2 linked regions of the Rattus norvegicus genome follow. The protein of the gene in region 1 interacts with the protein of each later gene in a biochemical or structural test. Links are inferred from orthologs where the notes say so. Each region holds a gene or a part of one and is shown on either strand. Other genes may lie near its edges.

Region 1 (3,912 bases):
TGCTATAAGTTTAGTGACTTAAAATGAGACAAACTTCATATCACACCACTGGATGCAAAAAAAGGTCTTCCTATCTGAAATCAAACAGATCTTTCCTTTGGAGATTATTAAGGAAGAATATCTTGTATAGTTTCTTCACACTGCCTGCATTCCATGAGCCCTAGATTCTTTCCATCTTGGAGGCCAGCAGTGTCCAATCTGGTTTGGTTTTGTTTTACCAATGCTGCTTTCCTGACATGCACATTCTTCTGCCTCAGCCTGTCATACCTAAGTACCTTTGCAGTCACAATGACTGGATGGATCCAGGATGACTGTATGCAGAATGCCACTATTAACAACCTGCACTTCCGCCTCAAATCTCAATATTCCTTGGCCAGATAACATCTTTACATATCATGGGTTGTTATTCTGTGAAACACTGGGTAGGTGCTTAAATAAATCTCTAAATGGGCAATGCCAGCAGCTTTTAGTTTGTGCTTAATGCCACTCTTTTTTTTCCCCCAGAAAGGTATTGCTACTTAGAATCAATCAATCTCTCTCTCTCTCTCTCTCTCTCTCTCTCTCTCTCTCTCTCTCTCACACACACACACACACACACACACACACACACACACACACGGGGTGGGGGGTGGGGGGGCAGGCACACACACCCCAACCACCACCATTACCATACACACACCACACCCCCCCCACACACACACACATTCTGTGGCACAAAGAATTGATTGTTGGCCCAAACCTGTGGTTGATTTACTAGGCCACAAGGTGTAGTTTGGTCTCCCTCATGGAAGAGGGGCAGTGGTGAGGGATGTAATGGAGGCCCCACTTTGGATTCCATGGAGACAGAAGTGCCCTCCCTTCATGGTTGCATGAATCAGTGAAAGAAAACATGGGAGAATCAACAGGAACCTACTGGATGGCTGTTGCTAGGTCACCTGTCCCCTCTCAGGCTGCAGTACTGGCAGCCCCCCTCCCCTTCCATTGGCGTCAGAGGAGGAGGCAGAGGAGGGGGAAAGCAAAGAGGGAGTACAGGGAGGGGCAGGCACTGTCCAGCCTCGTTCTGAAATACAGATGTACGAAGGTTCCCACTCAGTATCCATCCGCTGCTCCCTCCTGCTCCCCAACTGCAGACCTCCTCCTCCTTGTAGTCCCCCCTCTCCAAAGCCCTCATACACTCTACATTTAAGCCATCTCACACACTGTGAGTGTGGCTCCAAAAATATTTTTAAAAGTGGTGGTGGTCTCTGGTTAGGGTGAACAGGGGTCTGCAGACGCCCACTGGTACAACCCTCCCCTCCAAGAGGAGTGGGACTGTCTGTGGCCCCGCCCACTCCGAGTCGGAACTACAGTGGGTCCGGGAGGGGGCGTCGAGCCCTGTGCGCAGTATCCCTCCGCCCCCTTCCCGACACCCTCCAGGAGAGCTGTGCTTGCCGCAGTCTGCGCAGCCCCTGCCCGTTTGGTGCAGAGGCGTGGGGGCAGGACACAGCTCTGCCATTCCACTCGCGCTCAAAGCAGTGAAAGCCCAGTGAAAGGATCTGCGGAGGACAGAGAACAGCCGGGAGCAGGAGAGGGACGCGGGGGAGCCCGGGGACCTGGGCTGTGCCCCTGGCCAGGCAAGTGGGGGTGTGTCATGGGCTCCAGGCTGTCGCGCATTGCGGACAGCTGCCTGGCCCTGACAGTCCAGTGGAGGCAAACAGGTCACAGCTGCTCCCTGGAGTGTGTGCTGTGCCTGTAGACCCAAGGCGGTGGGCAGAAGGAGGCGGGAACCCCTGCAGAGACCCGGGCACAAGGGAAGGATGGAGCTGCTGGGTGTGATGGTCTGGAGGTTGGCATAGCCGACCGCCTGGCAGTTGACTTTCCTGGCACCAATACCCCGCCCTCGACAATGTCTGGGCCCTGTGAGGGTTATACGGTAGGCAGCTGCTGTTGAAATGACGATGAGAGAGTGGGGGGGAGGGAGATCAGGGAGCCCACAGGTCCCAGGAAGGCAGCTGCAAAAGAAATGGCCGGCCATGCTGGAGTGGGGGGGGGGAGGGGATGAAGCCCACAGGTGTGGGTGTGGGGCAGGTGTCCAGCACTGGCGACAGCGCTGGGTTGTGAGTCGCCTTGGCTACTAGGGCTCTGATCTAGTTGCTGAGAGGGGCCCCGGTGCCCTGCGCCCTGGGTGCTGTCACTCCCCACAGGATCCTGCTTGATGGAAAGTGTCCTGTCTGCGCGGTAGGTCTGGCATATTCTGACAGGCCACAGTGAGTGAGCATCTGTACACCAGAGGCTTGAGAAAAGAGGAACAGGAAAATGGCGTGGATTTCTGGAGGTGTGTGGTAATGGGAGTGGGCACCAGACAGTGAGTGGAGATGCAAAAAGGGTGGGGGTGACTGGCCAGAACAGGTGGGAATAAGTGTCTCCTAATCTCGTTTCTCACAGCCTTGCAGGTACCTTCTACACTGCCTTTCCCCTCCCTCCCAAATCTGGGGTCTGAAAAGATGGGGTGGGGATGATGACGGAGTCATAAATCCAAGGACCACTTCAGAACCTGCTTTCTAGAATGTACTGCGCCCTTCCCCCATTTTTTGCTGCGCAAGGCAAGGAAACATGGCCACCTAGTGGCGAGTCTTCAGAATTGCAGAAGGGACTAATAAGGATGACATCAAGGAGTGGGTGTTACCTCAGGAACCCTGCAGCCAGGCTAAATCCAGAATGTTCCAGCAGTAGGACCCTAAATGCTAAAAGACACTTGATCTGGTTCTGATCCTTGGTGGCATTTTCAACAAGATCAGCTGCTGCCATCATCTCCTGATTGTCATACATTTTCATGTCTATCCACAGCCCTGCTTTAAGGCTGCAAGCAAGGAAAGAAGGCTTCTAGGCGACTGTCTCAGATCTCTGGAGGTTGGTGAGACTCAGGGGCAGTGCAGGAGCCAGCCACTGAGGAGGCAAATCCAAATTGCTCTAACCCAAGGGGGTGCATGTTGCCTTACTGTCCCCTTAATTTGCCCACAGCTGCTACCACCATTTTCTGATTGTCATACATTTTCATGTCTGTCCACAGGTCTGCTTTAAGGCTGGTTTTTCTGCAATCAAGGAAAGAAGGTTTCAAGGCGACTGTCTCAGATCTCTGGAAGTTGGTGAGACTCAGGGGTAGTGCAGGAGCCAGCCACTGAGAAGGCACATTCGTTTTGCTCTAACCAAATTCAGATCACTGTCCCCTTAATTTGCCCACAGCTGCTGCCACCATTTTCTGACTGTCATACATTTTCGTGTCTGTCCACAGGTCTGCTTTAAGGCTGGTCAGTTCTTCAATCAAGAAAAAAAGGCTTCAGGGTGACTGTCTCAGATCTTGGAGGTTGGTGAGACTCAGGGGTAGTGCAGGAGCCAGCCACTGAGGAGACAAATTCAGATTGCGCTAACCCAAGAGGGTGCATGGTGTCTTTACTGCCCCCTTAATTTGCCCACAGCTACTGCCACCATTTTCTGCTTGCCTTACATTTTCATGTCTGTCCACAGGTCTGCTTTAAGGCTGGTCAGTTCTTCAATCAAGGAAAGAAGGTTTCAAGGCAACTGTCTCAGATCTCTGGAAGTTGGTGAGACTCAGGGGTAGTGCAGGAGCCAGCCACTGAGGAGACAAATTCAGATTGCGCTAACCCAAGAGGGTGCAGGATGTCTTTACTGTCCCCTTACTTTGCCCACAGCTGCTGCCACCATTTTCTGATTGCATTACATTTTCATGTCTGTCCACAGGTCTGCCCTAAGGCTGGTTTTTCTGCAAGCAAGGAAAGAAGGCTTCAGGGCGACTGTCTCAGATCTTGGAGGTTGGTGACACTCAGGGGTAGTACAAGAGCCAGCCACTGAGAAGGCACATTCATTTTGCTCTAACCAAATTCAGATCACTGTCCCCTTAATTTGCCCAGTAGT
Region 2 (3,912 bases), on another chromosome or scaffold:
CCCCCCGTGTGGGCCCTATTCTAGCTGTCCCAATGGTGGCCATGGCCTCCCAGGGAGCTCGGTGTGGCCACTGCATCACTTCACTTGGGAGGGGCGTTTAAGCAGAGGGCCGGGTAGGTCAGGCGGCAGCGCCACCGCCCGGGCCGTCGGAGGGGGTGCAGGCGGTGACACGCTCACGCGCGGTGGCCTGGCGGGGACGGCGGAGGCTGCCGGGTTCTTGGCCGCCGCAGGGCGCGCGACAGAGCTGGCGGAAGCAGCGCTTGAAGTTCTCGTCCAGGAAGGCGTAGAGAACCGGGTTGAGGCTGCTGTTGGCGTAGCCCAGCGCAATGCACAAGTGCAGCGCGGCCACCACAAGTGGGTCGCGCCGATTGATGTCCACCAGCGTCCAGACGATGACGAAGATGTGGATGGGCGCCCAGCACACCACGAAGGCTCCCACCACCACCAGCACCATGCGCGTGATGCGCCGCAGGCTGCGGTCCTTCTCCTTGGAGCCGGACAGCAGGCGCACGCTGCGCAGGCGCAGCAGCATGAGGCCATAGCACACGGTGATGATGAGAATGGGCACCACGAAGGCGAAGAGGAACACGCAGATCTTGGTCACAGTGTCCCAGTACCAGCTGGGGCTGGGGAACTGGAGCGTGCATACCACTGCTCCATCTGAGTCCGGGGAAACAAGGAAAAGACACGGGTCAGAGGTCTGTGTGCCTAAGGGGCGCCGTCTGCTTGCCCCCTTTCAAAATCACTAGCTGGGTCGAGGAGATTCTGAGGTCTAGTATGTCCTTTTACTTGGTGAATTCCTTCTTATGCTTAAAGACCCCAGAATTGATTATCTGGGAGGTCCCTTCTGTGTCCTCTCCCAGGTCCTATGTAAGCCCTTATGTCCATAACTAATACTTTGTCCAGGCCCAGGAATTGATCCAGTGGATTGAACAAGACTGAAGGTTGATTTAAACAGTGGGTTAGGGCTGGCGATATAATTCAGGTGCTAGAGTGTCCCTGGTTCAATTCCCAGCACCGCACTAACTTGGGCCTGGTGGCACGTGTGTCACCCGAGCACTTGGGAGACGGAGGTGAAGAGGAGCAGGAGTTCAAGGTCATCTCTGACTACATTAACTTCTAGGTTAGCCTGGGCTATAAGAGAGTTCAAGTCCCAGCAACCACATGGTGGCTCACAACCATCTGTAATGGGATCTGATGCCCTCTTCTGGTGTGTCTGAAGACAGCTACAGCGTACTTATATATAATAAATAAAATAAATTTAAAAAAAAAAGAAGAAGAGGAAGAGAAGGAAGTCTGACTCCATCCCAAGTATGTGTGGCCTTGGGCAAATTACTCACTGTCTTCAAATTTCCTTATGGTGGGGCTAATAGTCTATCCACATTCCTGTAGTTACATTTAGATTTATTTGTCCAGTGAGTGTCAGTGTGTGTGTGTGTGTGTGTGTGTGTGTGTGTGTGTGTGTATCATACATGTGAAAGTTAAAGGACAATACACAGTTGTTCATTCTTTCCTCCCACCGTTCCTGTTCCAGGGATCAAACTCAAGACTGTCAGGCTTGGTGGCAAGCACCTCTGAGCCATCTAGCCAGCCCTACCTGTCCCAAGGACATTTCTTAAGACAGCTGTGAAATAGACGCAAATATATAAGGTATGTAGGTCAGTGGGGCTCAAACAGTTGATGCACTCAGAGGAAATTGGAGCCCAGAGGTCAGTGCTAGGGCCTGCATCTCAGGCAGGTAACAGCGAATGTAAAGAACAACTTCATACCAGGTGACATAGCACACATCTATAAGCCCACCATTCAGGAGACTGAGGTAGGAGGCTCTCAAGTGTAAGACTAGACAAAATTACATGGAGACTATATCCAAGAGTAAACTAAAACATCAAAGCCCTTCCCAATAGCCAACCCTGTAGGAAAAGGAAGAGGAGCTTCCTGTCCTGGAGAACAGGCTTGGACTAGATGAGTATCTCAGAGGACCTGGCAGGTCTGATGCAGGCTGGAAGCTGCCCCAGGGATGCTCAAGATCTCCAGGAGATGCACAGTAGACTTGCAGCTTGCGAGTCATGAGAAAGGGGCTGGAGAGCCACAAAGCATCTAGGGTAGTTCATCCTGGGAGGACTCTGGGGATGATTGAGGATCAGTGTGCTTATGGGTGGTGGTGCCCAGAGAGGGAGGAGGGAGGAGGAAAGAGGAAGGAGGGAGGAGGGAGGAGGGAGGGAGGAGGGAAGAGGGAGGAGAGGGGGAGGGGGAGGGAGGAGGGAGGAGGGAGGAGAGGGGGAGGGGGAGGGAGGAGGGATGAGGGGGGAAAGAGGGAGGAGGGAGGAGAGGGGAAGGGGGAGGGAGGAGGGAGGAGAGGGGGAGGGGGAGGGAGGAGGGATGAGGGGGGAAAGAGGGAGGAGGGAGGAGAGGGGAAGGGGGAGGGAGGAGGAAGGAGGGAGGAGAGGGGGAGGGGGAGGGGGAGGGAGGAGGGAGGAGGGAGGAGGAGGCCCACTTGACTCAGCTCCCAACAGTTAATGACTCCTAAACCCAAGGCTGATGGTGAGCTATGGAGCCCGTTGCTCAGGCAAAACCAAACACTCAAAGGCTGTGTAATGGCCCCAGGGTTCTGCCCTTGAGGGTCAAGGTGTCTAAGAGGTCTCCTACCACCCAATCATCTCCCCCTTCCTTTCAAGCCTCTACAGACTTCTACCCAGGGGTCAAAAGGGAGGAGAGACCACCCCTAAGGGCAGGAGCCTTGGGTGGAAGGCCAAGTTCCAATGCCTGCTAGTGAGGCTTTCTTTCTGATAAGGTCTGGAGAGAGAGAAAGAGAGAGGGGGAGGGGAGTCCTCCCTTGTTTATGAGGTGGTGTGGCTCGCAGGTTGGTTACTATAGCATAGATACCCTCCCACACGTCTTTACATCAAGGTGGGGGCCATGGGAACAGTTGACACTGGGAAGGGATGAGCACTAACATTGAAAATGGTTATGATTTCCCCAACTTCTTTTTTTTAAAGATTTATTCATTTATTATATATAAGTACACTGTAGCTGTCTTCAGACACACCAGAAGAGGGCATCAGATCTCATTACAGATGGTTGTGAGCCACCATGTGGTTGCAGGGAATTGAACTCAGGACCTCTGGAAGAGCAGTCGGGTGCTCTTTAACCACTGACCCGTCTCTCCAGCCCCCAACTTCTTTTCTGTATTTATGTGCTGGCCAGATACCTCCTCTGGGAACCCGCTACCCCCAAACTATCCTCCTCCCCAATAGACTGTAGTGGAAGGAGACACAAACTTCTGTTTTAAGCCCCTGAACTTGAGGATGTTTGACATAGCAGCGTTAGTGACTAATAAAGATGCCCTGGGAAATGTTAATTGTTTGCCACTTCCCTCGGGCCATTTTCTGGGCCTCATTTTTTGGTCATTTAGCCAATGCTAATTTTTTCTCCTTATTTGTCTTTGTTTGTTTGTTTGTTTTAAAAGATGTATTTATTTTATGCATGTCACTGTCTTCAGACACACCAGAAGAGGGCATCAGATCTCACTACAGATGGTTGTGAGCCACCATGTGGTTGCTGGGAATTGAACTCAGGACCCCTGGAAGAGGAGTCAGTGCTCTTAACCACTGAGCCATGTTTCCAGCCCCCCCTTTTTTTGTTTTTGAGGCCTGGTTTCATGGCCTCGAACTCATTATCAAACTAAAGCCAGCCCTGAACTCCCAATCCCCTTGCCGGGCTTGTAGGTGTGCAGTACCACACCTGATTCATGAAGGGCTGGGGACGGGATCCCAGGGCTCTGTGCATGTGGGGTAAGCACTCTGCCAGCATAATTACATCCTCAGGAAGAGCAGTCAGTGCTCTTAACCACTGGACCATCTCTCCAGCCCCTCCAGTGGTTTTCAAAGTGGGATAAAGGGGAGTTTGGGATGG

Evidence for each region.
Region 2: the proteins of Gprasp1 (region 1) and Oprd1 form a complex in vitro, tested with the Homo sapiens proteins (2 studies listed by BioGRID and IntAct). The link is inferred for Rattus norvegicus from reciprocal best matches to the Homo sapiens genes GPRASP1 and OPRD1.

What each region holds. Positions count from the first base shown.
Region 1 is NC_086039.1:103,555,095-103,559,006, forward strand, and holds the start of Gprasp1 (G-protein coupled receptor-associated sorting protein 1), read left to right. Parts: upstream 1-1,398; 5' UTR 1,399-1,613; intron 1,614-2,051; exon of another isoform or gene 2,052-2,314; intron 2,315-2,826; 5' UTR 2,827-2,889; exon of another isoform or gene 2,890-2,893; intron 2,894-3,049; 5' UTR 3,050-3,125; intron 3,126-3,271; 5' UTR 3,272-3,343; intron 3,344-3,504; 5' UTR 3,505-3,581; intron 3,582-3,738; 5' UTR 3,739-3,809; intron 3,810-3,912. UniProt on the Homo sapiens protein: Modulates lysosomal sorting and functional down-regulation of a variety of G-protein coupled receptors. Targets receptors for degradation in lysosomes via its interaction with BECN2.
Region 2 is NC_086023.1:149,590,319-149,594,230, forward strand, and holds part of Oprd1 (delta-type opioid receptor), read right to left. Parts: intron 661-3,912; coding exon 119-660; 3' UTR 1-118. UniProt on the Homo sapiens protein: G-protein coupled receptor that functions as a receptor for endogenous enkephalins and for a subset of other opioids.